7 linked regions of the Rattus norvegicus genome follow. Each later gene encodes a partner of the first gene's protein in a complex. Links are inferred from orthologs where the notes say so. Each region holds a gene or a part of one and is shown in the gene's direction. Other genes may lie near its edges. The genes, in order: Sumo1, Sae1, Ranbp2, Senp2, Daxx, Pml and Pias2.

The links.
Region 2: the proteins of Sumo1 (region 1) and Sae1 are in contact, whole or in part, in a crystal structure (PDB 3KYD), measured with the Homo sapiens proteins. The link is inferred for Rattus norvegicus from reciprocal best matches to the Homo sapiens genes SUMO1 and SAE1. Residues at the interface, in NP_001005781.1 of Homo sapiens: Asp30, Ser31, Ser32, Glu33, Ile34, His35; in NP_005491.1 of Homo sapiens: Thr179, Lys180, Val181, Ala182, Lys183.
Region 3: the proteins of Sumo1 (region 1) and Ranbp2 are in contact, whole or in part, in a crystal structure (PDB 1Z5S), measured with the Homo sapiens proteins. The link is inferred for Rattus norvegicus from reciprocal best matches to the Homo sapiens genes SUMO1 and RANBP2. Residues at the interface, in NP_001005781.1 of Homo sapiens: Asp30, Ser31, Ser32, Glu33, Ile34, His35, Phe36, Lys37, Val38, Lys39, Thr41, Thr42, His43, Lys46, Leu47, Ser50, Arg54; in NP_006258.3 of Homo sapiens: Asp2631, Val2632, Leu2633, Ile2634, Val2635, Tyr2636, Glu2637, Leu2638, Pro2654, Thr2656, Cys2659.
Region 4: the proteins of Sumo1 (region 1) and Senp2 are in contact, whole or in part, in a crystal structure (PDB 1TGZ), measured with the Homo sapiens proteins. The link is inferred for Rattus norvegicus from reciprocal best matches to the Homo sapiens genes SUMO1 and SENP2. Residues at the interface, in NP_001005781.1 of Homo sapiens: Asn60, Arg63, Leu65, Glu67, Gly68, Gln69, Arg70, Ala72, His75, Glu89, Tyr91, Gln92, Glu93, Gln94, Thr95, Gly96, Gly97; in NP_067640.2 of Homo sapiens: Asp386, Lys394, Leu395, Arg396, Trp410, Leu411, Asn412, Asp413, Glu414, Thr440, Phe441, Pro444, Lys445, Arg456, Trp457, His474, Val477, His478, Trp479, Met497, Gln542, Gly545, Ser546, Asp547, Cys548, Gly549.
Region 5: the proteins of Sumo1 (region 1) and Daxx are in contact, whole or in part, in an NMR structure (PDB 2KQS), measured with the Homo sapiens proteins. The link is inferred for Rattus norvegicus from reciprocal best matches to the Homo sapiens genes SUMO1 and DAXX. Residues at the interface, in NP_001005781.1 of Homo sapiens: Lys17, Glu18, Tyr21, Ser32, Ile34, Phe36, Lys37, Val38, Lys39, Thr41, Thr42, His43, Lys46, Leu47, Ser50, Tyr51, Arg54, Gln55; in NP_001135441.1 of Homo sapiens: Glu731, Glu732, Ile733, Ile734, Val735, Leu736, Asp738, Ser739, Asp740.
Region 6: the proteins of Sumo1 (region 1) and Pml are in contact, whole or in part, in a crystal structure (PDB 8DJI), measured with the Homo sapiens proteins. The link is inferred for Rattus norvegicus from reciprocal best matches to the Homo sapiens genes SUMO1 and PML. Residues at the interface, in NP_001005781.1 of Homo sapiens: Gly19, Glu20, Tyr21, Ile22, Lys23, Ser32, Glu33, Ile34, His35, Phe36, Lys37, Val38, Lys39, Thr42, Lys46, Leu47, Ser50, Arg54, Glu84; in NP_150241.2 of Homo sapiens: Glu554, Arg555, Val556, Val557, Val558, Ile559, Ser560, Ser570, Ser571, Ser572, Arg573.
Region 7: the proteins of Sumo1 (region 1) and Pias2 are in contact, whole or in part, in an NMR structure (PDB 2ASQ), measured with the Homo sapiens proteins. The link is inferred for Rattus norvegicus from reciprocal best matches to the Homo sapiens genes SUMO1 and PIAS2. Residues at the interface, in NP_001005781.1 of Homo sapiens: Tyr21, Lys23, Val26, Glu33, Ile34, His35, Phe36, Lys37, Val38, Lys39, Thr42, Lys46, Leu47, Ser50, Tyr51, Gln53, Arg54; in NP_004662.2 of Homo sapiens: Lys466, Val467, Asp468, Val469, Ile470, Asp471, Leu472, Thr473, Ile474, Glu475, Asp479.

What each region holds. Positions count from the first base shown.
Region 1 is NC_086027.1:68,600,004-68,603,953, reverse strand, and holds the start of Sumo1 (small ubiquitin-related modifier 1), read left to right. Parts: upstream 1-1,150; 5' UTR 1,151-1,191; coding exon 1,192-1,203; intron 1,204-3,950. UniProt on the Homo sapiens protein: Ubiquitin-like protein that can be covalently attached to proteins as a monomer or a lysine-linked polymer.
Region 2 is NC_086019.1:86,205,090-86,208,589, reverse strand, and holds part of Sae1 (SUMO-activating enzyme subunit 1), read left to right. Parts: intron 1-1,607; coding exon 1,608-1,719; intron 1,720-3,500. UniProt on the Homo sapiens protein: The heterodimer acts as an E1 ligase for SUMO1, SUMO2, SUMO3, and probably SUMO4. It mediates ATP-dependent activation of SUMO proteins followed by formation of a thioester bond between a SUMO protein and a conserved active site cysteine residue on UBA2/SAE2.
Region 3 is NC_086038.1:26,983,919-26,988,113, forward strand, and holds the start of Ranbp2 (E3 SUMO-protein ligase RanBP2), read left to right. Parts: upstream 1-1,395; 5' UTR 1,396-1,467; coding exon 1,468-1,539; intron 1,540-4,195. UniProt on the Homo sapiens protein: E3 SUMO-protein ligase which facilitates SUMO1 and SUMO2 conjugation by UBE2I. Involved in transport factor (Ran-GTP, karyopherin)-mediated protein import via the F-G repeat-containing domain which acts as a docking site for substrates.
Region 4 is NC_086029.1:92,516,141-92,519,640, reverse strand, and holds part of Senp2 (sentrin-specific protease 2), read left to right. Parts: intron 1-1,079; coding exon 1,080-1,213; intron 1,214-3,048; coding exon 3,049-3,115; intron 3,116-3,500. UniProt on the Homo sapiens protein: Protease that catalyzes two essential functions in the SUMO pathway.
Region 5 is NC_086038.1:4,974,921-4,979,194, reverse strand, and holds the start of Daxx (death domain-associated protein 6), read left to right. Parts: upstream 1-1,474; 5' UTR 1,475-1,554; exon of another isoform or gene 1,555-1,658; intron 1,659-2,077; exon of another isoform or gene 2,078-2,318; intron 2,319-2,411; 5' UTR 2,412-2,427; coding exon 2,428-2,634; intron 2,635-3,233; coding exon 3,234-4,059; intron 4,060-4,155; coding exon 4,156-4,274. UniProt on the Homo sapiens protein: Transcription corepressor known to repress transcriptional potential of several sumoylated transcription factors. Down-regulates basal and activated transcription.
Region 6 is NC_086026.1:67,552,089-67,556,318, reverse strand, and holds the start of Pml (PML nuclear body scaffold), read left to right. Parts: upstream 1-1,430; 5' UTR 1,431-1,538; coding exon 1,539-1,595; intron 1,596-3,357; coding exon 3,358-3,821; intron 3,822-4,230.
Region 7 is NC_086036.1:72,953,707-72,957,206, forward strand, and holds part of Pias2 (E3 SUMO-protein ligase PIAS2), read left to right. Parts: intron 1-1,196; coding exon 1,197-1,302; intron 1,303-2,059; coding exon 2,060-2,133; intron 2,134-3,500. UniProt on the Homo sapiens protein: Functions as an E3-type small ubiquitin-like modifier (SUMO) ligase, stabilizing the interaction between UBE2I and the substrate, and as a SUMO-tethering factor.

The sequences.
Region 1 (3,950 bases):
TGGGCCACTTATAATCGGCTCATTACTAATTACAGAAAAGATTATTTTATTAATGTCTTGTACTGTGAAGGTTTTTGACTTACTTTAGTTTTCATTTTTCCCCCCTTTACTTAGTATAACCTTAATCTTCCCTGAATGTTTGTGCAAGAGGGTCACTGTATTCAAAGGAAGATGTTTAGGTCTATGATGTAAGGCAACTAGTTTATGAGCTGGAGGGAGCTCTTGCAACTTCAACTTTCAATAGCATTTTGGTCATCTATAGCCACCAAGACTTTGTTCTAGAGCTGGAGATGTGGTGGCCCAGGTCTTTAATCTCAGCACTGGGGAGGCAGAGGCAAGAGGAGGCCAGTCTGGTTGACTTAGCAATGTTCTATAATAGCCAGAGCTACTTAGTGAGACCCTGCCTCAAAACACAAAACAAAACCAAAGATGTGACCGGAAGGGTTGTTTCTTCATGCCCCACCCCTAGACTCCCACAGGGTTCTTCCATGTAGCCTTGGCTGTCCCGGAACTCACTTTGTAGACCAAGATGGCCTCAAACTCACAGAGATCTGCTTGCCTCTATCACTCGGAGTACGCCACCATAACTCAGCTCGTTGTGGTTAACTTCATTCACTCTGACATGCTAGTGGCTTCCAAATCGCTTTCACTTTCTCTCTTGTAGAAAATGAAAACTTGTTACTATTGTATTTCTAGTAATCAAAGTCATGAATGTGGCAGCAGCAAGCAAGAGGGGGCCATAAAGATATTATACAGGGAATTCACTATATTCAGGAAGAGTTGGTTCCGGCCTCAGAAGCGTACAAGATGTCCAACAGGGAGGAGCCTAAGCGGTCAGTTTGACCCCAAACACACACAGCCTGCAGGCAAAGCGCTGGTCTCCCTAAGGCCTGAGGCAGCGGGCCGGTTTTCCCGGCCCCGCTGAAGACCTAGCGGTTCTCTTGCTCCAGGAAAGTAGCTTAACCTTGACGATTTCATCTCCCGCATTCCCTAAGGCGTTTTCCCGCTTCCCTTTCCCGTCTTCCCAAACTCTCCTCTGCGCGCTGCGGAAGTGACGCAAGACGTAGCGGAAGTCCCTGCAGCCGCGGTGTTGTGCTGTGGAGAAGAGACGGATTTGTAAACCTCAGAGTGCGGTTCTGCCTGCCGGAGGCCGCTGTGGTGCGGAGACCCCCGGGTGAATCCACCGACACCATGTCTGACCAGGTACCGGGCCACGGCCTTGGGGCTCAGGGCCGTCGGCTGCTGGCTGAGCCCCTGGAATGGGGCGCGGGGGGAGGGGGTGATGTTGGGGGAGGGGGCTGCCGGTGGGGAGGGGGCCGCGAGGGACGCCGAGCGCCTGGCAGAGTCGGGCCGAGCCGCCTGGGATCGAGGGTCTCCGGGTTTTACGCACCCTCCGCGGCCCTTTCGGAGGCCTCTACCCCCACGCCATCCAGCGCCGGGTCTCTTTCGACTGCTCCCAGGTTTCTCTCGGGCTCGCTGGGGGCCCAGGCCCGCTCCCTTGTCCGTGAGAGCAACCTGGGGGAAAACGACCGTTTCCCTTTCAGAGGACCGATGGCAGAAACAAGGCCCTAGGCCCAGTTATGTAACGGGAGAGAATCCCTGCCTGGGAGGCTAGGTGGCCCTGAAAAGCAGCTCGATTCTACTTTGGGTTCTTGGTCCCGGAGAGTGGGGGGCGGGCAGGGATCCTTGTTTGGGGTGACTGGGAACCCAGGAGACGCTGCTTTTCAGTTGTGTTTGCCTGGAGGGTCAGTCCGTCTTTGCCCACTTCAGAGTCATTTTTCCATCCGGGGGTGCGGAGCGGTCGACTCTTTCTCTGTACTTTCCATTTCTTACTCGGGATTGGTCCATCAACTCTCCAGTTGTAGGAGCGCTCAGAATAACCGAGAAACAACAAACTGCGTAGAGTGCCACCACCAACATGCCATCCATACGGTTTTTGTCTGGCTTTCCTTTTGTTTGGTCAGATGACTTAATTTTCAGAGTATTTTTTTTTTTTTTAATTTTTACTTCTTTAGTTACAATTCAGCAAACTTTTTTCATTCTACTTTACATTGTAGTTGAGCTTTTTTAAAATTTTTTTTGTTGGTTTTTTTTTTTTTTTTTTTTTTGAGACGTTGGTTTTCTGTGTAGCCTGGTTGTCCTGGAACTCCCTCTGTAGACGAGGCTGGCCTCCAGTTTATAGAGATCCGCCTGTCTGTTTCCTGAGGATGAAAGGCTTGCAACCACCCCAGACTGGCCATAGTGGTTCTATTTTTATAGCCTATCTACACTGTAAATTAGTTGTGGGATGGATTTACTTATTAATAATCTGGATTATTAATCTTTTGGGCTAGAAATGACTTTATGAAGCCCATAATTTGTTTATGACAGTTGTTTACTTAGTTACCAGAGAGGAGAGATCAGCTGTGTAAACGCTTATGCTTCATCAGACTTCTATTTTTAAAGCATGTTAGCCAGATGAGAGGGCAACATACAGAAAGAGTTTTAAGTTTTAGGATTAGTTTTGCTCTAGTTTGAACTTACATTATGTGAGGATATGAAGAAAGAAAAGAGGACCCTAGGACACAAGGTTTCAGGGAGTCTGCAAAGTCACTCTATGCTTGCTTAGGACTCTCTCACCTCACTTGGGGTCTTTGGGTGCTGGACCTAGGGCCTCCCACATGTGCTTGCCAGGCAGGCACTAAACCCTCATTTCTCCTTTTACTTCATTTCATTAAGTTGTCTAGGTTGGACTGTAACACACTTGTCTTTGAACTTGGACTCCCTCAGCCTTGCAGAGTAGCTGGGATTACAGAGTTATGCTGCCACACTTGGTGTGTGTGTGTGTGTGTGTGTGTGTGTGTGTGTTTCTCATTCTATCATGGATGTTCAATGAAAATTTTAGAAACATGACAAAAAAGTAGAACAAATCTTTTTTTTTGAGGCAGGGTCTTAACTATGTAGCTTTTCCTGGCCTGGAACTCAGTTTCTCCTGTGTCTGTTTCCTGAGTGCTGGGATTAAAGATGTCTACCACCACAGTTGGCAAAACAAGTCTTTTTTTTTAAATTGAGCTACACATTAAAGCAATTTGCATAGGAAATAGTGCTGCTACTCTTAAAATTTTTGTCTTTAAAAAAAGTAATAAAAATGTATCTAACATTTTAGGGGTTTATTTAGTTCAAGTCAAGGGTTTCTCTGTGTAGCCTTAGTTGTCCTGGAACTTGCTATGTAGATCAGATTGGCCTCAGATTTTCCTTGCCTTGCCTCTGCCTCCCAGAGTGTATACCACCACGACAGCTGGGTTGATAGGTTTTTAAATCATTGAGAGTGTGATAATGGATTTGGGAGCTGTTGCTTTAGGCTGATGGATAACATTAATCTTAGTTCCCAGAACAAGTTCAGTATTGAGTGTTAAAGATTTGGAGAAAACGGTTAAGTGAATCCTTGCCTGTAAGAGGTTTATAAGTGAGAGTAGGAATCCCCAAGTACTGTGTGTAATAGCAACAGCCTGAGACTGAGCTGTCTTCAGAAGGTGGCCTTAGAGGGTACTTTTTCAAGTTGGGGGGTTCGATAATGTGCTTGACTTGAATACAAGATGCCCTCCAGTACCCATGCACATTTTATTTTCTGAGGCAACTCTTAGAAGCTTGTATCTTGTGCTTAAAATAGTCACATTGAGTAATAGTTTCAGCTTTTCTCTTTGTTTTGAGATGCTCTCACTGTGTATCTAGGCTGGCAGTGATCCTTCTGTTTTTACTTTCCTGAGTCCTGGGATTACAGGTGTATGTGTATGCCACTGTGTCTTGCCATAATTTCAGTTTAAAATGAGTGGATCTTTATATCTAAAATAGATCACAATCTAATGCCTAAACCTTGAGAATTCACTGAATTATGCAGTTTTTTTAAAAAGAAGGTACTATAGGTCCCATCATTGGTACATGATTTCCCAAAGAATGAGGATCATTCTATA
Region 2 (3,500 bases), on another chromosome or scaffold:
GGGTTCGGTCCCCAGCTCCGAAAAAAAGAAGAAAGAAAGAAAAAAAAAGAAGTGCTGGGATTTTAGCTATGCACCCCAGCACCTGACAGCCACTGGGCGTACTAAAGACTTTAACGCTTAAGTAAGCACTCACCGATTGTGGAAGTCATTTTGAAAAAGAGCCCCTGGTGTTTGTTCTCCAGGTGCTTTGTTTTTTTGTCTTATTTTTCTTTGTAGAAATCAAAACAATTCCCCTACCTGTTTTTGTTGTGCTCAGGTTGGCCTAACTATGTGGCATAGCATGACTCTACCCCCGATCCTGTCTCTGCCTCTCCAGTGCTGCAATTACAGGTGTGCACCCACAACTTCTTGTGCCTCCATGTATTTTGCTTCTGTGCTCCAGATTAAATAATGCTCCTCTTACTGAGCTGGGGGTTATACTTCATTAGTAAAGCACTTGCCTGCTCTGGCAGGAGCCCCTGAGTTCAGTCCACAAACCATAATAATTATACTGCCTTTTCAGCACCTCTTTGGTTACTATACTAGTCTGAGTGCGCGTGCACACGGTTTCTAGTGCCTACCTCGTGCTGTGCCCCTCATTTCACACTTCACATTGGTCCTTTCTGCATCACGTTGCACCTCTTTGTTTTTGCTGTCTCTGAAAGCGGTCAAGCCAGGCAACCCCTTCTTTCCTTTTGCTTTTTTCTTTTCCTTTTTTTTCTGAAACATGTTTTTGTGTGTATAACAGCCCAGGCTGTCCTGGAACTCGCTTTGTAGACCAGGCTGGCCTAGAATTCACAGAGATCTGCCTGCCTCTGCCTCCTGAGTGCTGGGACTAAAGGTGCCCACCCCACCCAGCTTCAGGTGTCCCTTCCTGAGCTCGTGTGCTTACAGGTTTAGGTTTCTATAGTGGAATGCTTTCTTTCCCGCTATCTGTATGTTGGCTGCTTGTTTATTTCGTTTTGATTGAAAAGCTCCTTCTCTGGGTTTCTTTTTGTTGTTGAGATAAGATCTTTGTGATCTAGTCTGGATGTGAACTTCCTGAGATCCCTCTTGTCTCAGCTTCCCAGCCGCTCAGATTACAGATACACTCCTTCAGAAAGGTTTTATCATTACCACTGGTCTGTTTAAAATTGCGTCTTCCTTTGTCCTCTTTTTAGACGTTTATTTTGTATTTCTGGGGATCCATGCAGGACCTCATACGTGCAAGGCTGAGCTATAACCCCAGCAGCATCATCTAGTCTTATTTTTTTTTTTGTTTTGTTTGGTTTTTTTTGTTTTTGTTTTTCTTTCTTCTTTTTTTCGGAGCTGGGGACCGAACCCAGGGCCTTGCGCTTGCTAGGCAAGCGCTCTACCACTGAGCTAAATCCCCAACCCCTAGTCTTATGTTTAAAGAGCTGCTTTCTTTACTGCTCTGTACATTGTGGAGAAGATGCATGGTACCTGCTCAATAAAGAAGTAATTTTCTGTGCAGAATTGTTTGGGACCTGTTTTCTAGATCTGAAGGTTCAGTGGTGGTTTTGTGGTACATATAGTGAAAATTAAGTTTACTTTTTCTATTGTTCTATGATTGAACAAGTCCCACTGTTTGGGGTCATCGGATTAATAACATAGCATGTGTTTCACAGGCTTCGAGCTTCTCGGGTACTGATTGTCGGCATGAAAGGACTTGGGGCTGAAATCGCCAAGAACCTTATCCTGGCAGGAGTGAAAGGGCTCACCATGCTGGACCATGAACAGGTAGGTACCATCTGGTTGCCTGGTCTCCAAGAGGCAGTGCTGTGTGTGAGTGCTGCTGGGCAAATCCGGTTCAGTGACCTGTAGGTGGGAGACTGAGGCGGGATGGAGGCTTATGCACGTATGTAGCCTTCAGCACCTGAGCTGCTGATTCAGAAGAAGGTCTGGAGTGGTTCAGGAATGAGAACATACAACAGACACCTCAGGTCAGTGTGATGGCACTTGCCTGTAATCCCAACACTCAGGAGACTGAGGCAGGATTATAAATTCAAGCCTAGCTTTTGTTACATAATGAGGCTCCTAAAGAAGTCACAATGGGGCTGGAGAGTTCTTTCAAAGTACAAATCCCTACGTTCACATTGCAGCTCAGAACTGTCCGTAACTGCAGGATCTGACATTCTCACATTCATACATGCCGGCAAAACACCAATGCACACAAAACACCAATGCACACAAAATAAAGGTATATAAACAAACAAAAATAGTCAAAATAATCTTGTACGTGAAACTCACCAATGTTACTTTGAAAAATGTTGAATCAGAGAGAAGGTATATAGAATGCATATACAGAGAATGGTGAGCGTCCAGTATTAAACTGTACATCATATGGAGATAGCACAGCAGTGCCCGGTTCACATGCAGCTTTCTCTGGCTTGTCTCTTCTTCGGGGTTGGAAGTGTGTGTTTATACACTTCCAAGCCTCACTGACATGTAAGTTTTCTAACGATTTTTTGCTGATTTGCTTGCATCTTGGTCTTTTGAGGCAGGGTCTCACTGTAGTTCAGGCTGCCGTGGGACTTGGAGTGTAGCCTCAAGCCTATGAGACCTTGCCTCAAAAAACTAGGACTTGGGGTTGGGGATTTAGCTCAGTGGTAGAGCGCTTGCCTAGCGAGCGCAAGGCCCTGGGTTCGGTCCCCAGCTCCGAAAAAAAGAAAAAAGAAAAAAAAAAAAACAAAAAAAACTAGGACTTTCTACTGTGATATGAAGAAAGCTGACTTTTGTTTGTTGGTTAGTCTGTTTTGTGACAGAGTTTCTCTGTAGTTCTTGACTGCCCTGGCACTCGCTGTGTAGCCCAATCTGGTCACTGAGATGTACCTGCGTCCACCTCCCGAGTGCTGTGATTGAAGGCAAGCATATGCGCCTCCATGCCAGGCAGGCTCCACTATGTAGGGATTGGCTGGGAGCCTGTGTAGACCAAGCTGACCTCAAACTCATGGAGATCAGCCTGTCCTCTGCCTCCATAGTGCTGAGATGAAGGGACGTGCCATAGGTTCTGACTTTTTTATTGCCATTGAGGTAGGATTTTGGTTAGCTCTAGCTGACTATGTGACTTTCAACTCTGATCTTGCCTCTGTCTCCCCAGTGTTTTTTTTTTTCTTTTTTTTTTTTTTTTTTCTTTTTTTCGGAGCTGGGGACCAAACCCAGGGCCTTGAGCTTGCTAGGCAAGCTCTCTACCACTGAGCCAAATCCCCAACCCTTCCCCAGTGTTCTTACAGGCATGAGTCACCACACTTATTTATGAAGTGTGGGTGGTCAGACCTAGGGCTTCATTACTTCTTAGATATTATTGCCAACTACACTATATTCCCATTAAAAGTTGATTAAGTTAAACCTAAGAGGAAAGTGGTATGGTGATACATACCTGTAACCCCAGCACTCACAAATCAGAGGTAGGATTGCTGCAAGTCTGAATTCATCCTGGGCTACATATCAAAGCTCTCATACAGCAAACATTTAAAAAAGAAAGAGAATCTAAGGAAATACATATCTGTGAGCAAACAGGA
Region 3 (4,195 bases), on another chromosome or scaffold:
AGCGAGGAGCCAGCATGCTGGCAAGGGGGCTTTGAATTGTCTAAAGAGTACTTTTAAGTGGAGATTGGGGAGCCTGGAGGCTAGCATACATCTATAAGTCATTTCTGCAAGGGGAAAGGGAAATGACTCCTTTTGGTAGATAGGAACCAGTTTCACTGATCCTAAGGAATGCAGGCTTTTATCTAACTGCCAGAAATCCTCCATAGTCCAGGTTGAGTCTAAATTAGATTCAATTTTGGAGTCAGCGGGGCAGCCTTTTTTGGGGATGGGATGGGGTATTCTTTGGATCTGACAGTAAGGTATTTGATATCTGGAACTGTGCCACTCTAACCTTTCCACTGCGGTTTTAATCAGTATTTGCAGATACAGATTCTTTTCAGGAGTTATTTACAACAGTTTATTCACAATCTTTTACTTAAAAAAAAAAAGGATTTGTGTGTACATGAGGACGTGTGTGTGTGTGTGTGTGTGTGTGTGTGTGTGTGTGCGCGCGCGCGCGCACGCGCGCTATGGAGGTCAGAATCTGGATTTAGATAGATACTTTGGAATAGGCGGTTGAGAACTGAATTTTGGTTCTTCAGAGGAGCGGCAAGAACTCTTTTTTTTTTTTTTCTTTCCTTTTTTTTCCGGAGCTGAGGACCGAACCCAGGGCGTTGAGCTTGCTAGGCAAGCGCTCTACCACTGAGCTAAATCCCCAACCCCCAGCTGCAAGAACTCTTAACTGCGAGCCATCTTTCTAGCAAGAAGAGACTAATTTTAATAGTCTAGTATAATCTGTTCTGCTCATTGTTAAGTCACAAAACAGGCCCCCAAAAGGCAATGCTGCTGACAATGTCCTAATGACCGCCTCGATTCTTATGCATACAGAAACCTAAAATCATCCTTGCTCAAAACCTGGTGAAGCCTCTTTCTGTTTGTCAGAAAAGCCACCACTTCCCTTCTCTGCCCTTAACCGTCAACTACCCCGGGAAGGTGCATCTCATCATGTGACGCTAATATTCCCACTCTGGTTTATTTAAGTAGAAAATCACTGTCCAATATTCACCTTTATTCTATGGAAACCGGAGGCAATAATGAAGTTTATCTCTTTAGAAGGAAATCAACTGTGGACTAGATGTAGTCCCGAAAAGGTCGGATTCTTATGGCCCTGTCTGCAGTACTGCCATTTTGGGTCCGTTTTGTGACGTAGCAATAGTGAAATATACAGATTTTTCTGGGGAAGGGAGTTTTTCACAATCGTGTGCGACATGGTCACGTGGTCTCAAGGGCAGGCGGTTTGGGGTGACAACGAGCAGGCGCGTCAGACTGCAACGAGGCGCACAGTGATGACGCACGTCGCACGCACTGTCCCTATCCGCTCGCGACGGAGCTGCGTCACCGGTGTTCGGCGCTCACCTCCTGGAGACCGCAGCCGCTGTAGGCCCCAGAGCTGGCCTGCCGCTCCCGGGGAGCCTGGTCGGCGGCACGATGAGGCGCAGCAAGGCCGAGGTGGAGCGGTACATCGCCTCGGTGCAGGGCTCCGCCCCGTCGCCCCGAGAGGTAAGCAAGTCTGGCCAGGCTGGCACTGTGCGCCAGCGTCATGGCTCCCGGCGGCCTCGGCTCCCGCCTGGCTGTAGGCGGTCGCGGCGGCGTGGCGCTGCTGAGCACCGGAGACGTCGGGACTGCGGCCGCCAACGTTTGCTCTTCATGGCGGTCCGCGGGCCCATTCAGGCCTAGCTTCCTCGGCCTCGGCTCCGTAGGCCGGCGTGGGGCGCTCTGCGAGACACGTCCAGCAGGCACCTTCGGTCTCTGGGATAGCTAGGCCCTGTCGCGGCGGCGGTGTCTCCGGAGAAGCTGACGCCGCACGGCGGTGGGCTTTTACGGTTGTGTGGGTGGCTCCGCGGAGAGCAAGAGCAGCCACATTCGTAAGGGCGCGTCAGCACAAATGACACGGAAGGCCCATAATTTGAGTCTTCTATTGCTGTGCCCCGCTCCTTACATCCCCCCCACTTCCCCAAACCTCATTTGGAAGCTGCTAGTCTTTTCTTTTTTTAAGTTTTTTTATTTAAAGGCGGAAGGTTAGGGATTTCTTCCAGGCAGTAGTTGACACGCCCCAACATTTCTAGGGTTATTTTGTAACATGTTCTGTAGCTTTCCTTTTTTATTTTTTTTAAGGTCATTAATGTGTTGTATTTATTTTCGGTTTTTCAAGAGTGTTTGCCGGTGGAGAGAGATGTACAAAGGATCTAGAATCAATTTTTGGGGAGGGGGGATTGAACAATCTTAGTTCTGCCATTTGTAAACAGTAATTTGGTACAGTATAGACGTTTCATCAATAAAACGGAATTTTTATCTTGTTAGTGTTACCCAGGATTCATGACTCAGAGCTTCAGTTTGTGTATACAAACACACAATTCAGTTGTATATTATTTTTTAAGTTCAGAGAAATAGTTGTCTCTGAGGGTTTTATGGTCATCTATATATACCAAAGTTCGTGAACATACATGTGTCCCTTTTGTAAAATGGCATAATTTTTTCGTTACCTACTTTGAAGCTCTTCTTTAGATGGCTTCTATGGGCTAAATAATCCAGTCTAATAAATCTATAATCCCCCTCCCCCAATCAAATCCAAAGCGATTTTAAAAATCTCAAGTTCATTTAGTGCAGGTATGCCAAAGTGGGAAATTTTACACCCAGTTTCCTCTGATGGATCAAAGTCAAAATGCCAGGGTACAAAAATTATCGTATGAAAGTGCTTCCAGATTTCTATCTATAAGGTGTACATTAGACAAATGTGTTTATATTTAGACTTGGGTCTTGTCACCAGGATCTCTAACATGCTTGAAGATATTTAAAAATCTAAAAACAAACACCAAAAAAACAAGACCCTGAAATCTAAAAATGCCAAGCATTTCAGATAAAGCAAACTCAACTAATATACTATGTAAATGTGTAAATAGTTGTCAAATTAGGTTAGGAACCATTTCAAGGTCTCTGTGTATTCAAATCTGACTTTGGAGTTGTTTTTGTTTTGAGGCAGGGTTTCTATTATGTTCTGGAACTCACTCTGTAGGCCAGGCAGGTCTCAAACAGATTCCCCCGCCTCTTCTGGGATTGAGGGTGTGTGCTGCCACATATGTACCATACCAAGATATGTTTTAAAATGTTATGTAAGGTTGGATGGGTTGGTCAGTGTGGGTTGACTTGGATAGTATGACAACTATAAGAAATTTGTTGTTTTAACTAGTTTCATTCATTGTTCACTTTTGTGACATTTACATTCAGAGTTGTTCGGTCATAACCCTTATTTCCAATTTTGTTTTGTATTTTTTTTTTTAAATTATGCCAAACAAGTTCTGTAACCATTAAGAAACAATGCCACAGCCTCTTTTTTTTTTCTTTTTCTTTTTTTTTTTTTTTTGTTCTGTGCTCCTTTTAGTATATTTTCAAGGTCATTTATGTTGTAGGGTGTTGGGAGTCTTATTCTTTTTATTTATTTATTTTTTTAATTAGTTTTTGAGATGGGGTTTCTCTGTGTACCCAGATGGAACTAACTTTGTAGACTTGGCCTGGCTGGTTCCAACTAAGAGAGCCGCCCACCTTCATTTCCCCAGTGCTGGGATTAAAGGCACGGGCTACTACTGCATTGCTTTCTTTGTGGAGAGTGATGTTCTTATTCCTGTTCAGTGGCTCAATATTTTATGTTTGTATTATCTTAGGTATGCCACATTTTGGTTATTCATTTATTGTTGATTGACACTTAGGTTGTTTATATCTTTTGCCTAATAATGTGTAATGCAATGAACACTGATATAAAAACATTTGAGTGCTTGCTCTTAATCCCTTGAGTTACACTGAGAAATAATTGTTGGGCTGTGTATTAGTATTTTCTGGGGAGTCCCAGACTCTCTTTTATAGTGACTGTACTTATATTCCTGCTATCAACTTCTGTGGCTTCAGTTTCTCCGTGTTCTTACCAATGCTTTGCTTGATACTTGAATTTATTATCTTACTGCATTTTATTTTGGGAGCAAGTGTGTGTGTGTGTGTGTGTGTGTGTGTGTGTGTGTGTGTGTTTAGGTTCACATGTGTGGATGTTTGCTGGAGTTGGTTCTCTTCTACCATGTGATGCCTAGGAATGGAATTAATGGCAGGTACCTTTACTTACTGAAGCCACATTGCCAGTCCTAATTATTTTTAGTCTTTTTTGCTCTTT
Region 4 (3,500 bases), on another chromosome or scaffold:
TCCTCGGCCTCCCAAGTTCTTGGAGTACAGGTGGGAGCCATTGTCCCTCCATAAAGAACTGAACTTTAATTTTCACTGATATAAAAGTAATCAGTAGGGAAGCACACCTGACTACTGGCTTCTACAGTAGATAAACTCTAGGTAGCTTCAGGGGAGAAGAAAAAGCAGAGGTAAAGAAAAGAAAGGAGGCCACCTCGTAGGAGGCCCATCGACTAATGTTCAGTTAGTGACGAAGAAACTGTAGGCAGCATAGATGTGCCGGAAGTGAGAAGAGGTAGTATGATGAAAGAGGAAGGCAGAAGAGCACTGAGGCACACACACCCCATTTGTTTATTTCTGTTTTGTAATCCTTGGTGCCAGGAAGAAGTGGGCTTGAGAGGGTCGATGCATCTAGTTCCATAGAGGGATAGTTTCTCCTCGTCACAGATGCGTAAGACCTGTGTGTCTAATCCTCAGTCAGCCAAGATTTGTCAGGGCTTGGAGGATGGTTGTTTAAGGCAATCGTTGTTACCTGGCTGGGACGGATGGGCAGATCAGTGAGTGAGTGTTAGTGCTCCCTGTGGGACCCCATGCCCACTGTGAGTGCTCACTTAGCCAGTGAAGATTCATGGAGAAGCTTCCCTATATGAACTCTACAAAATGCACTCCTCAAAAGCGGCTATTTCACATCCTTCTTGGGGAGCCAGTCTGTGGTTTACCACAGTAATGGTTGAATGCTCTGGTAGCAGCTCGGGTAGTTGACTAACACAAGCTCACACACTAGAATTCCTTTTATCAGTCGGAAAAAGTACTTGTTAGTGTGTGCATGATGCACATGTGTGAGTGGGTTGTACTGGGACTTGCCCGTGGAGTCACTTCTCTCCATCTTCTCATGGGTTCTGGAGGTCAGACTAGCATTGCCAGGCTTGAGCAGCAAAACTGCCACACATTAACATCTCGATGGCCCAAGAACATTTTTATAGGTACATTTTAATTTTGGTGTTCAGAAGTAAGACTTTATTAAGAACTAAGATTCTTTTGAAAACTTAGCTTTTTCTGAAAGTTTAGTGCTATGTTTATAGCTGGTTGGTGCTTTCTAGATTGCTTCATTCACCAAGTGAAGAACAGTCTCTACAATGCGGCCAGCTTATTTGGATTCCCATTCCAGCTGACCACCAAACCCATGGTGTCTTCTGCTTGTAATGGAACACGGAATGTGGCCCCTTCAGGAGAGGTCAGTGGGACTGGGACTTGGGTACTGATCTCTTTTCTTTCCCTTTTTGATTTTTTTGGGGCTTTCATTTGTTTGTGGTTTTTGTTGTTGTTTTGTTTTTAAATTAACTGTATTCATTTATTTATGTAGTTATGTATGTATGTATTTATTTATTATGGAGATGGAGCCCCCAAGCCTTCTATATCTTTTTTGTGGCTTTGGTGGCTTGGGTTTATGTTGTTGTTGTGTTTTGTTTGATTTTTTGAGACCTGGTCTCTTTACATAGTCTCACTCTGTAGACCAGGCTGGCCTTTGTAGACCAGGCTGACCTTTGTAGACCAGGCTGGCCTCGAACCTTAGAGATACACCTGCCTCTATGTTCTGAGTGCTGGGATTAAAGCTGTACTTGGCATGAGTCTTGTGGCTCTTAAGCATGGGCCGACTGCTGAGTTGTTATCTCCAGCCCTTCACACTGTGATATTTGTCCTTAGTTTTAAAAAACTAAACATTAGTAAAATAAAATTTTAAAAAATTCTCATAGTCTTTTGGGGGATTAACATATATATTGATTTATTCCAGAAATGATCATGCATTTATTAACTTTAATATGAAAGTAAAAAAATTAAAGGTTAATAATTTAAATACTTTAAAAATATTTATGAAGAATATTTTGGAGCCCGCAAGGTGGCTCAGTGAGTAAAGAGCTGTTAAGCCTGATGAACTGAGTTTAGTCCCCAGGACCCACATTGTAGAGAGAGAGAATTAATTCCTGCTGGATGTCCTCTATCCTCCAGACATGCACCAAAACACATGTGCATGCACACATTTGTGCACAGAAAAGGGGGAGGAGAATGCAATAACAGTTTTAAACAGTGTTAGATAACTCAGCTTGGTGGCATGCTCTTGTGATTCTAGTGTCCAGAAGGCAGCTGCAGAAGAGCTAAGGTAGATTCGACCTTCAAGACCATTATGACAGCCTAGTGACACCCTCACTTAAAAGCCAAAAGGGAAAGCAAAGCCAGGTGCAGTGGCTAATGCTCGTAATCCTTAGCAGGTAGAGGCAGAAGAAGAAGAACCATTATGAAATTGAGACTCGCTTGGCTACATAGTGAGTTCCAAGCCAACCTGGGCTACAGTCAGACACTGTCCTAAAAACAAAAAAAGAACAGAGTGGAGTGTTGTAATAATTTTTTAACCCTGACCCAGGGTTTTTACCTCGCCTATGACCATTTAGTTCCCAGATAAAAGACACACATAACCTTTTTATTTACAATAAGCCTTAAACAGCACAAGAGCTGGGAAAATACCTACCCTCTATGCTATTAGAATCTACTTTCCTATAGATGACCCGTAGTTATTACTTTGTTTCATCTGGGCTGCTCTTAACTCTAATTGGCCAGCCCTCAGGGCCAAGTTTATATGGTTCACCTAACCTATGGTGGCTTCTCTTCTCTAAGAAACCTAAGCCCCACCTTTATTTCTTCTGCCCAGCTACTGACTGTTGCACCTTTATTTACCAATCAGAAATAACTTGGGGGCAGAGTCAAAGGTCTGCATACAGACTCCAAGTCCTGGGGGCTGCACTCAGCACTATAATAGACAGCAAGACCAAGCCTCAACAAGGAAGTGAGGGTGAGGTCAGCCTGTGCCGCACAGCTTCTCCCTTGGAAAGGGAAATTTGGTCTTTGTTTTCTTATTTAAGTATTTGTGAGAAATCTGTAACTATCTTTTAACATTGTCCTGTGACTTTTTACCTGAATGGCATCATTTCTGTGTGCCAGCTTGAAAGTGACGTGAGTTTAGTGAACTTTTATGTTAGTGCTTAATTGCAACTTTAGAAGTGACTTTTATTCTAGGTGTTCTCGAACTCTCCCTCCTGTGAACTGACGACTTCTGGATCCTGCAGCAGCATGCTGAAGCTGGGTGAGCTGCTCAGGATATTCTTGCTTGCCTGTCTTTACAGCCATATCCCCTAAGTATTAAGAATATGAAAGGAAAGCACCAGTTTGGATCGGGGTGAAATAAAGGCATAATCTCGTTACTGTCCATAAAAATATTACAAACTTTATCTTAAATTCCTAGGACTAGAAATGCCTTTGGTTTCAGAGTTTTTAGATTTTAGGGATGTCTGCATGGAGCCCAGCAGTTGAACATCCCTGAGGTAAACTGCGGTTTTTACAGGAAGGATGTTTAACCTGGAGCTCTCCTTTATAATCTTTGTCTGAGCTGACCGCTGTATTTCCTGTTACAAGCATGATTCCAAACGTGACTTCAGATCAAGGCTTATTGATTAAAATCAAGAATGGGC
Region 5 (4,274 bases), on another chromosome or scaffold:
CTGCACTCATGTCATGCAGAGACTTACACCGGCACACACATAAAACCGAAATAATTGTGAAAAGGTGGGGAACCTTCATTTCAGGCATTCACTCTGGGAAACCCACTTTGAGAAACCCAAGGATATGAAAATTAAAACCTTCATTATCTTTAGAGTCCCGTTAGCCACTGGAAACCCCCCCCCGCCCCCATTGAAAGCCGTAAGACCGGACGGGAAGCGAGGAAGAAGTGGGTTTAAATTTGTAGTTCGGGTTCTCTTGAGAGCAGCTGGGCTTTCTTTTTTTGGGGGGGGGGGGGCTGAGGACCGAACCCAGGGCCTTGTGCTTGCTAGGCAAGTGCTCTACCACTGAGCTAAATCCCCAGCCCCGAGAGCAGCTGGGCTTTTCTTGGTCCTGCACATTGGTAAGATGCCCGCCACCTGAGGCAGGAAGACCGCGTTGATGCAGTCTCCGCGCGAAGGGTGTTGACTTATCAGGCTTCCTCGTCAGCACACCTGAGGGCCTCGCCTCTCCACCCCGGGCCCGGCCGGCATCACACAGTTGTTTTCCCCTCTTCCTTTTCTCCGCAGCTCTCCAGGAGAAGGAAGACACCCCGCGTGATTTTATGAGCCTCGATTCGTTTCCCAGCGCTCCCAGCGGCAGCTTGCAGGGCTTCTCACCAAGCCCGCACCAGGTTATCCCGCGCTCCGCCTCAACGCCCTGCAGACCCCTGCCCGGAAGCACTGCCTTCCATACAGTCAAGACGACCCTCGGTGGAACAGGGGCCACGGTTCCCAGTAGGGAGCTCGGTCTGTGGTGCAGATTGAGCATCCAGTCTCGCGGACCGCAATAATAACAATACCTCACTCGGGCAGCATGCTGTGCTCATTTGTATGCATGCATATGTGCGTGTGCGTGTGTGTGCACCTGACCCAGGAGGCCCGGGCTGGACAGCCTCCAAGTGCACGCCGGCTCTTAAAGGGAAGGGCAAGCATAGGCAACCAGGCGGTGGAACTCTTGGTCGGAGGGAAAGCAAAGTAGGGAGTGCCAGGCTTACACCAACAGGAAAAGAAAATCCTTTATTTCCTTCCCTGGAGCCCTACACAGCCATAGACACACCAGCTCCTTAGGTACCTGCTCGGATGGAAGGATGGGAAGGTCTTCCCCGCCCTCCAGCCGATGGCGTGGGGTGGGAGGGCAGGTCTGGGGCAGGAAGTTTCTGATTGGCCGAGTGGCTTTGGCAAGCTCCTGGTGCAAAGAGCTCCACGCCTCGCGGAGCTGGCTGGTGCCGTACGGCAACGTGGCGCGCCCCATCTACCTGGTCCCAGGCCCCGCCCCCCTGAGTGTCAGTGCACCCGGAGCGGCGGCCTAGGTGGGCGGGCCACGCGTCACTTCCGGTCCCAAGAAGCCTAGGTCCCGTACAGCAATATGGCCGCCCTCAGGTGCTGCAGGCGGAAACTCCGCGCCTTCCGGTCTGTTGTAGGGCCTGAGGTGGGGGTGGGGGAAAGGAAGGCGGAGGGAACTTTGCGAGGATTTGTGATCCGCGCTGAGGGGAGCCTCGAGAGACCGTTTCTGAGGTGGGGGCCAGGTCGTTCGTGGAGCCGGGGTGGCGGCGCAGGAGTTGGCGAAGGCGAAGGATCCGCACGGCCTGGCTGCGGAGTCTGAGGGGCGAGCTTGTATGGTACCTTGCTAGCCCTGAAGGGGAATGTGGCGGCCTAGGGCTGAACGCGGAGAGGGTTACTTGGCGGGAAGCTGAGGCTGGAGACTGTCCTCGCCTGGGGCTGGAAGCCCAGACATTGGGAATGCTGAGTGGTGGGCTTGCTGTCGGTTACGAGTCACAGAGAATGGGGAAAACCTGGGTGCGGTGAGAGGGAGGGGACTGGAGGTGAAAAATCTCCAGCCTGAAGTCCGGGTTTGTGGAAGGTGGAACATGGAGATGGTTGTAGGAGCGGGAAGGACACCAGGCTCTTCAGAGGGAAACCCTTTAACCTCGGAGTGGAAGAGTTGGAGTTAGGAAGAAGTCGGAGGGGACTGTGATGATGGAGGGCGAGAGGTGGGCAAACCCATGTGGTGGTATCGACTGGGTGTTGGTTTCTGTAGACGGAGAGAGCAGTGTGGGATCTTATACCCCATCGGATTGGGAGTAGGAAGAAAAAACTCACCAGCTGACAAGAGAGTGGGGAAAACGCAACCGAAAGACAGGAAATTGACTGGGGGCTGAAATTTGGGACTTGAGACGATCGATGGGGAGGTTCCCCTTCAGAACTGCCTGAGACTGATAGTTGCAAAAGACAGGCTTTGAAGACATCTCAGAAAGGACGAGGCTATTGTGAACCCTGAGGTATCTGACTGAGTGGGACTAAGGAGGAGGGGCTTTTCCTGAGTCACCCTTTCCCTTCCAGAATTCTGACCTTTCAAATACTTTTTCCCTCAGGGGGATTTGATCCCCCATGGCCACCGATGACAGCATCATTGTGCTTGACGATGATGATGAAGATGAAGCAGCTGCTCAGCCAGGACCCTCCAACCCAGCCTCTAATCCTGTCTCACCAGGACCAGAAGCCTCTGGTCCCTCTGAGTCCCATGGGGATGGAGGGAGCAGTAACTCAGGTAGCAGGAAGTGCTACAAGTTGGAGAATGAGAAGCTGTTTGAAGAGGTAAGCTTCAGGGAAGGCTCCCTTTCCTTTAAGAGAAGGGTCTCGCTTTGTGGCCCTGGTTGCCTGGAACTGTCTAGATGAGGCTGGCCTTGAACTCACAGAGTTCTACTTGCCTTTGCCTCCTGACAGCTGGGATTCAAGATGTGAATCACTGGGCTGGAGAGACAGCTCAGTGGTTAAGAGCACTGACTACCCTTCTAGAGGTATCGAGTTCAAATCCCAGAAACCACATAGTAGCTCACAACCATCTGTAATGGGATCTGATGCCCTCTTCTGGCGTCTGAAGACAGCTACAGTGTACTCATATATAGAATACATCTTTTTAAGAAAAGGATGTGGGGGTTGGGGATTTAGCTCAGTGGTAGAGTGCTTGCCTAGGAAGCGCAAGGCCCTGGGTTCGGTCCCCAGCTCCGAAAAAAAGAACCAAAAAAAAAAAAAAAGAAAAAAAGAAAAGGATGTGAACCATTATGATGTGATTGGGCAGATCCCAAGGAAAGGGGTGTTTGATTGGCTGATTGTTCTGGCTTCCTCACTGATTCCCTCTTTTTTTTTTTTTTTTGGTTTTTTGGTTTTCCCGTCCCTTCCCCCGAACCGTTTAGTTCCTTGAACTGTGTAAGATGCAGACATCGGACCACCCTGAGGTGGTTCCGTTCCTCCACAAACTGCAGCAGCGTGCTCAGTCCGCTTTTCTGGCCTCTGCAGAGTTCCGCAACATCCTCTCCAGGGTTCTGTCTCGGTCTCGGAACCGGCCAGCGAAGCTCTACGTCTACATTAACGAGCTCTGCACTGTCCTTAAAGCTCATTCCATCAAGAAGAAGTTGAACTTAGCTCCCGCAGCCTCAGCGGAATCATCGGGTGATAACCCTCCCACAGATCCCCCGTCTGACCTTACAAACACCGAAACCACTGCCTCTGAGGCCTCAAGGACTCGAGGCTCCCGGAGGCAGATCCAGCGCTTGGAGCAGCTGCTGGCACTGTATGTCGCAGAGATACAGCGGCTGCAGGAAAAGGAGTTGGATCTGTCAGAACTGGATGATCCCGACTCCTCCTATTTGCAGGAGGCCCGCTTGAAGCGGAAACTGATCCGCCTCTTTGGGCGGCTGTGCGAGTTGAAGGACTGCTCTTCTCTGACTGGGAGGGTCATAGAGCAGCGAATTCCTTACCGAGGCACTCGATACCCAGAGGTCAACAGGCGCATCGAGCGGCTCATCAACAAGCCGGGGCCTGACACGTTTCCGGACTATGGAGATGTGCTGAGAGCGGTGGAGAAGGCGGCGACCCGGCACAGTCTGGGCCTTCCCAGACAGCAGCTTCAGCTCCTGGCTCAGGATGCCTTCCGGGATGTGGGTGTCAGGTTACAGGAGCGCCGCCACCTGGATCTCATCTATAACTTTGGCTGCCACCTCACAGATGACTATAGGCCAGGTAGGAAGCTCCTGGGATGATTTCAGGTGGAACAGAGGCAGCTCTAATCCCTTCTAGGATTGGGACTGACTGCTCTGACCCTGTTTCCCCACACAGGCGTTGACCCCGCACTCACCGATCCCACATTGGCTCGCCGCCTTCGGGAGAATCGAACCTTGGCCATGAGCCGGCTGGATGAGGTCATCTCCAAGTATGCCATGATGCAAGACAAGAGT
Region 6 (4,230 bases), on another chromosome or scaffold:
AGTATCTCAATCTTCAATATGATAATCATTGAAATTCTCTTAATAGATATCACATCGCATAATAAAAAATTGAAGGGAAAAACCACAAATATTTGTACACAATATGACTGAAACAACTGCCCACCACATTTGGCTGATCTTAGTTTGATGGCCTAATTTTAAAGGCCAAGGAATACTGGTCAGCTTGGAGGTATGGCATACTTTCAAGGCCTTTCATAGTCTCCAGGATGCTGGGTTTCCCTTTAGCACCCAACTCGCCCCAACTCTTAAGTTACACCATCCCTTCTAATCAGTTAGAACAGAGAGTAGGGTGGATGCACACAGGGGCCAGAAAAGTGGGTGGGAACAGACTGAAGTCAGAAGCCAAAGGCACTGTCCAATGAGAGTGTCTGCAGTTGTGTGCTTTCCTCACTCACTGGGTTCTGAATTGCTTTTCATTGGCCAAAAAGCTAACTTTCTATCTTCTTGTTCTTTTCACTGCTGCTGGCCAGCTCCTCCCTGACTTCTCTACCTCCATACAGAGCACATTCACCAGACCTATTCGTCACATCATCCTGTTCTGTCATCACTGTCCTTCCACTGACTCAGGTCTGGCTGCCTCCCACAACCACTTTTCATAGGCCACCTGCCTCAAGGTCATCCGAGAGACAAAGTTGACACTTTGTAGCAAACCCTTCACCAACTCTCTGATCATATACAGAACTGGTTCATCTCTCATTTTATGATTAATCTAATCTTCTCTGACATCATCACAGGAGCCCCATCTCAAGTCTGAAAATGGTCCTAACTACTTCCCAAACTGGCTCTCTTGTTTTAGACCTCCACTCCTTTCCAGGTGCGTGCCTCTCTTTAGAGTGTCCGTGCAACCCTGAATCCCTGGTGATTTTCTATCTCATGCTTCATTCTCAGCTGAGGGATGCCTTTCCAGGCAAACCCATCCCAATACTGGGTCGACGTCTCCATTTAGGGTCACTTGGGGGCTCGCTCAAAGAGGGGGTTTATTTCTCTACCTGGCTTTTAACTAGAAAGACACAGAACTGTGAGGTGAGTTGAATAGCTCCCAGTCCGGGAAATAAACGCCTCTCTGTTAGGCAGTCAGCTCTGCATCTCTCCTAGTGTGCATGCTGAGTGCGTGATAGGATCTTTACTTGTAGAGCAGTCAAGCTCGCGAACATTCTGCTACAGAGCTGTGCCAGCCTGCCGGGCTTGTTTACGTGCTTGTTTGGTTAACCTTTCTGGCTCTATCTGAGTTTGTTCCATAACTTCGCAGTCTTTCTCTTAACTTTAGAAGGGAGACTACAGAACGAGCCTCTCCGCCCCTAGACCCGCCCAGTCCTGTCTCACTTCCTCTCGGGAGGCGGGCCCTCCGCGGGCACCTCCCCGCAGCTCACTTTTCTGGCTCAAGTCTGGGACGCATTTCCCGCCCTCACAGACCCAATCCAGAAATCGAAACTGAACCAGGCTCTACGCAGAAGGCGCCTGCACCCTCTGGATCTCTCTGTCAGCAACTGGATCCTGCCCTGATCCCCACGCCCACCATGCCTCCCCCAGAGGAACCCTCCGAAGACCATGAACACAGCCAAAGCCCCGCGGAGGTACTACTGGATTAGGAGATGAGGGGATGCTAGGGTTTTTTATTCGTTTACTTTGGTGGGGAAGTTGAGAACAGAGAAGGTCATTATAGAAAAGTGAGTTAGTGTCCTAAAGAGACACCAGGGTCCTGAACCCCCTGACTGGGCATGGATAGAACTGATAGCGTAGAATAAAATAGGAACAGGATGAGTTACAGAAGCCCTGGGGACAGTTGGGTTGCAACTCCTACTCCCTGAAGCCTTGCCCTTTATCTCCTATCTCTGCCATGGCCTGGAGCTAAAGGCATGTCCCAGGCATGGCAGAACTAACTATAGCACCCCCACCCCGACCCACACACAAACACTTCCAGTTTCTCAGCAGTGGTCGCACATCCCAGGAGCAATAGAACTTGGGATGTGGGAGTTGGAGGAGGATGACAGGTTACAGGCCAGCCTAGTCTACAAAGAGAGTTCAAGACTGCCGAGGGCATCACAGCAAGACCTGTTTCAAAACAAAACAGAACAAAACCTGGTCCAGATCAAAGTGCCTGCTAAAACCAACATGATCCATGCAGAGTCAGTCTCTCTCTCTCTCTCTCTCTCTCTCTCTCTCTCTCTCTCTCTCTCTCTCTCTCTCCATACATTTATTTTATGTGTATGAGGTGTTTAGGGATTTTTATTTTATTTTATCGTCTTGAACACAGGGTCTCACTTTGTAGTCTTGGCCTAGCTGGAGCTCACTGTGTAAACCAGGTTGGCCTCAAACTCCTAGAGACCACCTGTCTCTGCTTTCTGAGCTCTGGGATTAATGTATGCATCCCCAAGGTCATGGGTCTTTTCCTAAGGAAGCCTAGCTCATGGTCCTCCCGGAAGTATTGCCTCAACCCCCCCTGAAGGAACTACCCCCATCCCGCTATTCTTCATTCCTTTTTCTCTTGACAAAAGCACAAATAAGGCCACATTGCCATAACTTTTTATATTAGCGTTGTATAACTGAGGGTTAAAAATACTAGTTAACATTAACGGGTACTTCTCATGTGCCCAGTACTGTACTGAGAACTTTGGACCATTTACACACCAGCTCTACCTTTTGTATCTATGAACTAACTAGTCTTATTGTTTAGTATGACTGGAATTACACAGTATTTCTCATTTTATAGCAGGCATATTTCATTTAACACAATGTCTTCAAGGTTCATCCAGGTTGTTGAATGTATCAAAAATTTCATTCCTTTTTAAGGTTGAATAGTATTTCGTTACATTTGCAGCCACGTGTTGTTCACGTATTCCTGTGCTAATGGACACTTGGGTCACTGTGACTTTTGTGGTGGTGTTGCTAGCTAGGCACATTAGTATATAATTATATGCCTGGATATTTTTCCCAGTTCTTTTGAGTATATATGAAAAGTAGAAGTTCTGGTGGTTTAAGTCTAACTTTTTGAGGACTATCCCACCAACTGTGTTAAGCACTTTATATGAAGTTGGTACTTTTCCAGACTCGAGTTCTTTAAAGGCAAAGATGTATCCAGTCTTGTATCTCAGTGTCTACTAGTGAGTCTGAGGATAAGTAGATGGGAGTCCAGTAAATTGTGTGGCGAGAGCTGCAAGGCCTCAGTAAATGAGGAACTGGGCTGCCGATAAGCCAGGACAGGATCCAGTGACTCCCAGGAATGGAATGTGAGGTCCTACCTACTCCAGCCTCCAGCTGAAGGAATGGGTGGCCAGTGGAGGGGACAGGACTTTGGGGCTTTCTGTAGGCCTCACTTCTCTCTCCTTGGTTCACCAGCAAGCCATAAAGGAGGAATTTCAGTTTCTGCGCTGCCCGGGCTGCCAGACCCAAGCCAAGTGCCCCAAACTGCTGCCTTGCCTGCACACGCTATGCTCCGGATGCCTGGAGGCGCCCGGCCTGCAATGCCCGATCTGCCAGGCACCGGGGTCGGCCAATGCTAATGCGGAGGCCCTGGATAACGTGTTCTTCGAGAGCCTGCAGCGGCGCCTGGCGGTGTTCCGGCAGATTGTGGATGCGCAGGCTGCGTGCACTCGCTGCAAAGAGTTGGCTGACTTCTGGTGTTTCGAGTGTGAACAGCTCATGTGTGGCAAGTGCTTTGATGCACACCAGTGGTACCTCAAACACGAGGCCCGGCCCCTGGCCGAGCTCCGCGACAACTCAGTGCGCGAATTCCTCGACAGTACTCGCAAGTCCAACATCTTCTGCTCCAATACCAACCACCGCACTCCTGCGCAGACTAAGTAAGTGAGGCATCCTGGAGCTGGGGGTGGGGGGTGGGGGGGAGCTTCAGGGAACTGTCACTCAAAATGAGGTCCGCTGGCTCGTAGGCGTTTCTAATGCCCCTCTTGGGGGAAAAATGTGATGTGTAAAAACAGTACATTTTAGTATTTGTCACCACCGAACTTTAGATGTCTTAAGAGTAGACTTTGGGGTTGGGGATTTGGCTCAGTGGTAGAGCGCTTGCCTAGCAAGCGCAAGGCCCTGGGTTCGGTCCCCAGCTCCAAAAAAAAGAATAGAAAAAAAAAAAGAGTAGACTTTTCCTTTGGAGGCCCCAGGAATCTCAGTAAGCTGGATAGGGGCAGGTTAAATAGTGTTTGAAAAGTTGAAACTACAGCCTCAGGGAGTGCTATCTGAAAATGACTACATGCA
Region 7 (3,500 bases), on another chromosome or scaffold:
ATAGCTTTCTTAGTTCTTCAGGTCGATTAACAGGACTTTCTACTGATGCTTGGTCTCAAAATGAAAGCTAACAGTTTAGATATTGACTGAAGCAGAAAGTTTATATTGAATTCATTTTTTTATCCAGTAAATAAATGGAAATATTTGTGAATATCAACTGTCATAGTCCTATTTCATGGAAGTAAAACATAATCCTGTTTGAAATTGAGGTAGATGTTTATGGTAGGGTTTTTAGAATTTGTTTTGTTTTAGCCACAGGGATGATTTACATTTTTAAATGAATGGCTGTGGTCATTGTAGGCACCTTAGTTGTGTTGTAGAATAGAAATACTTTTTTCTTTTGTAATAAGGTCTGATCAGCAGACCTAAAATTTAGGCAGTGTTATTGGAATTTGGATACTTACAAGGCTGTCAGAGTATTTAGAAGTGTTTGATTCAGTGGCTGTTGAGCGGTCTCCATTGTGGAGTTGAGTGAGTGTGTGCAGTGGTCAGAGGCCGAGCAGTGCTGTCAGTGGTCAGCAGGGCCTCTAAAATACCTGAGTGTGGGCCTGGATATGGACACTCTCTGGCCTTTGTCTTTAGTTTTGTAATTTGTTTCTTGTGTTTTAGTTGTCCTTCTATTTAGGAAGTGGAATTAATTTTTATTGGATTTATTTTAGAAAAAAGAAGCTGGTATAGGTTTTATTTTATGATGTCATTTGCTCTAGGCCATGTAACATGTAGTCTCATCAGAAAGAATTAGAAGTTTGACACTCTAAACTTGAAGTGTTAATTTTAGAGCAGAGCCATTTGAACTTCATTTGTGCAGTGTGAACCATTTCCACATGAAACTAGAAAAGCAAGCATTGTTACATGAGTAACTAAAACCAGGGACTATTCTCACGGTGACTCCCAAGCTACTCACTTGACTAAATTAAAAAACATAATCCACAAAAGCACTTGTCCCCACTATTTACCATACAAATGGATGTTTTAAAATAACAAGTGGTTGAAAATGATTTCATATTGAGAAAACCATTTTCTTACTCACATGCTTAGTTGATGTTTCTGTCCCAGTTGCCAGCACTCCTTTGGAAGTTGTTTGAGTGTTACTTTCAGAGCCTAGGTTTCTTCCTTTTATATTTTCTGTAAGTAAATAAACCAACCAACCAAAACCCCATTATGTGATCTTTATAATGGCTTTTCTTTCTTTGTAGAATTACTCCATGTCTGTGTATCTTGTACGACAGCTTACATCAGCCATGTTATTACAGAGATTAAAAATGAAAGGTATTAGAAATCCTGATCATTCCAGAGCACTCAGTAAGTAATGTTTGTAAGACTAAGCATATGACACACTTTGGTGGAGGGAAATCCTTTGATATGTAGCAATACACGATAATTTTAATCACTTACACTTATTATATGTTTACCACATACATGCATATATGGGTACATATATACACATATACATATAATAGTTATGTATAGTTTAACATATTTTATAATGTATATATTATAATGTTATTAACATTTTACTGATATGCATTGCTGTTATATAATATTCATAATTATGTAACTATAAATAGCTGGGGCACATGACATATTTGTTACCCAGTGGAAGAAATCTTTGCCACATTGTTTTCAGTTGTTAGAGGAAAAAAAGAACGTATCTTTTCTGTTTATACATTTAATATCGTTGGAAACAACCAGGTCAGCCCAGTAAAACATAAGGAGAGTCAGGAGAAGTAACGTATTAGTGCGAGCTCACGGCCGCTCCACTCCATCTTCTCCTCCCAGCTGTTGTGTTAAATTCCAAAACAAACTTTTGTTTTTAATTTTTCTTTTTCAGTGGCTTTAGTGTTAAAAAGAAATCTTAAAAAATCCATTAAATATATGATATAGAGTTTGTTGATAATTCTTTAATAATGGGAATGTGGTTTATTACATTAATGTTTAACATTTTGTGCTTCTTTGCCTATTCAAAGGAGGGTAGGAACTTTTAAACTGTTTTCTGTAATTCTGTTCTAATATTACTGTTAACTTTAAAGTTATTAATACCATTTTGTTCTTTTTAAAGTTAAAGAAAAACTTACTGCAGATCCTGATAGTGAAATTGCTACAACTAGTCTTCGAGTGTCCTTGATGTGCCCTGTAAGTAAGCTTCTCGTAAGTGACTAAGTGTCTTGTAAGAGTAAGGGTGGGGGTGAGTGGAAGAGTATTGTGACGGAATTCTGAACCTCTGTCTCTTCCATTCAGATATCTTCATGAGTAAGTGTTAAGGGGTTTCCCTGTGTAACAGCTCTGGCTGTCCTGGATCTCCCTTTGTAGACAGCTTGGCCTCGAGCTCACAGAGATCTTCCTGTGTCTGACTCCTCAGTGCTGGAATTAAAGGCCAGCACACTGCACCCTCCTTGTTTTTTTGTGTATTTAATTATTCTGAAGAAAGAACGCACAGAGTTGTTACAGAAGAGCAGAAAGCCTTAGGGTCAGAAAAGTGTGGTAACTGATGCTATAAAGTAATGCAGTTAAGAGGCTTTATCAGAGCGCATGTGATACTGTACATAGCAGTGACATTACTGGAGCCTCAGATGGATGCTAATTGATAGTTTGGCCTAGTGAGTTATGATGTATGGGCTGTCTTTGCAGTATACTTTTAAATTACACAAAATTTTTATCTCATATATTCTTACGTAGAGACATGGGAGAGAAATCATTCCCAGATCTGATATCCTTCTGTGCGATGTGTGGTTGGCACTGAGCTAACTGAGAGAAAGCAGACAATCTAGTTAGAGAACACAACCCATGAAAAAGTGGCAGACTCTACCTAGTGACAGGTGTGGAGGGATGTCAGGGACAGTGGGTGGAAGCTTCCTTACGTTAGGTTCCTGGAAGAAAGGAACTTTATGCGGAAAGCTATGAATCATGAATTTCTAATGTAACTTTGGATGACATTTGATGATTGCCACCAATATAAAATGTGTTTTTTTTTTTAAATTGAGAGAAAGTAATATCAGGTGTGTGTGTGGTGGGGGGAGGGTTGGGAAAGAAAATATTTTTTGAGTCTCCATAATGTGTAAATGTTTCAACAAACCCTGAGTGAGGCATAGTTTTTATTTTGCAAATTAAGTAGCTGAGGTTGTATAACCCTAATCACAGGGCCACTAGTAGAACAGGAATAAAACTTTTCTTCTGATAATTTTGTTTCCAACAGTTGCTGCCAGATTGGGCTAAAATACCGATACACCGAGCTTTAGTAGACCTGCTGTTTAGCTATTTTATTTTATTTATTTATTATATATAAGTACACTGTGTGGCCTTTATTTAGTTATCTTTACGCAGCTTTTTTCCCCCCCAAAACATCATTAATTTTGTGCGTGTGCTTGGAGCTTGCCTCTTAGGCTAGTCTGTCTGGTCCGTGAGCCTAGGGATGTGCCTGCCCCCTGAGTCCCAGCACTGTTCACACGTGTACCACCACCACAACAGGGTTGGTTGGTTTCAACCTCTCCACCACATGTTGT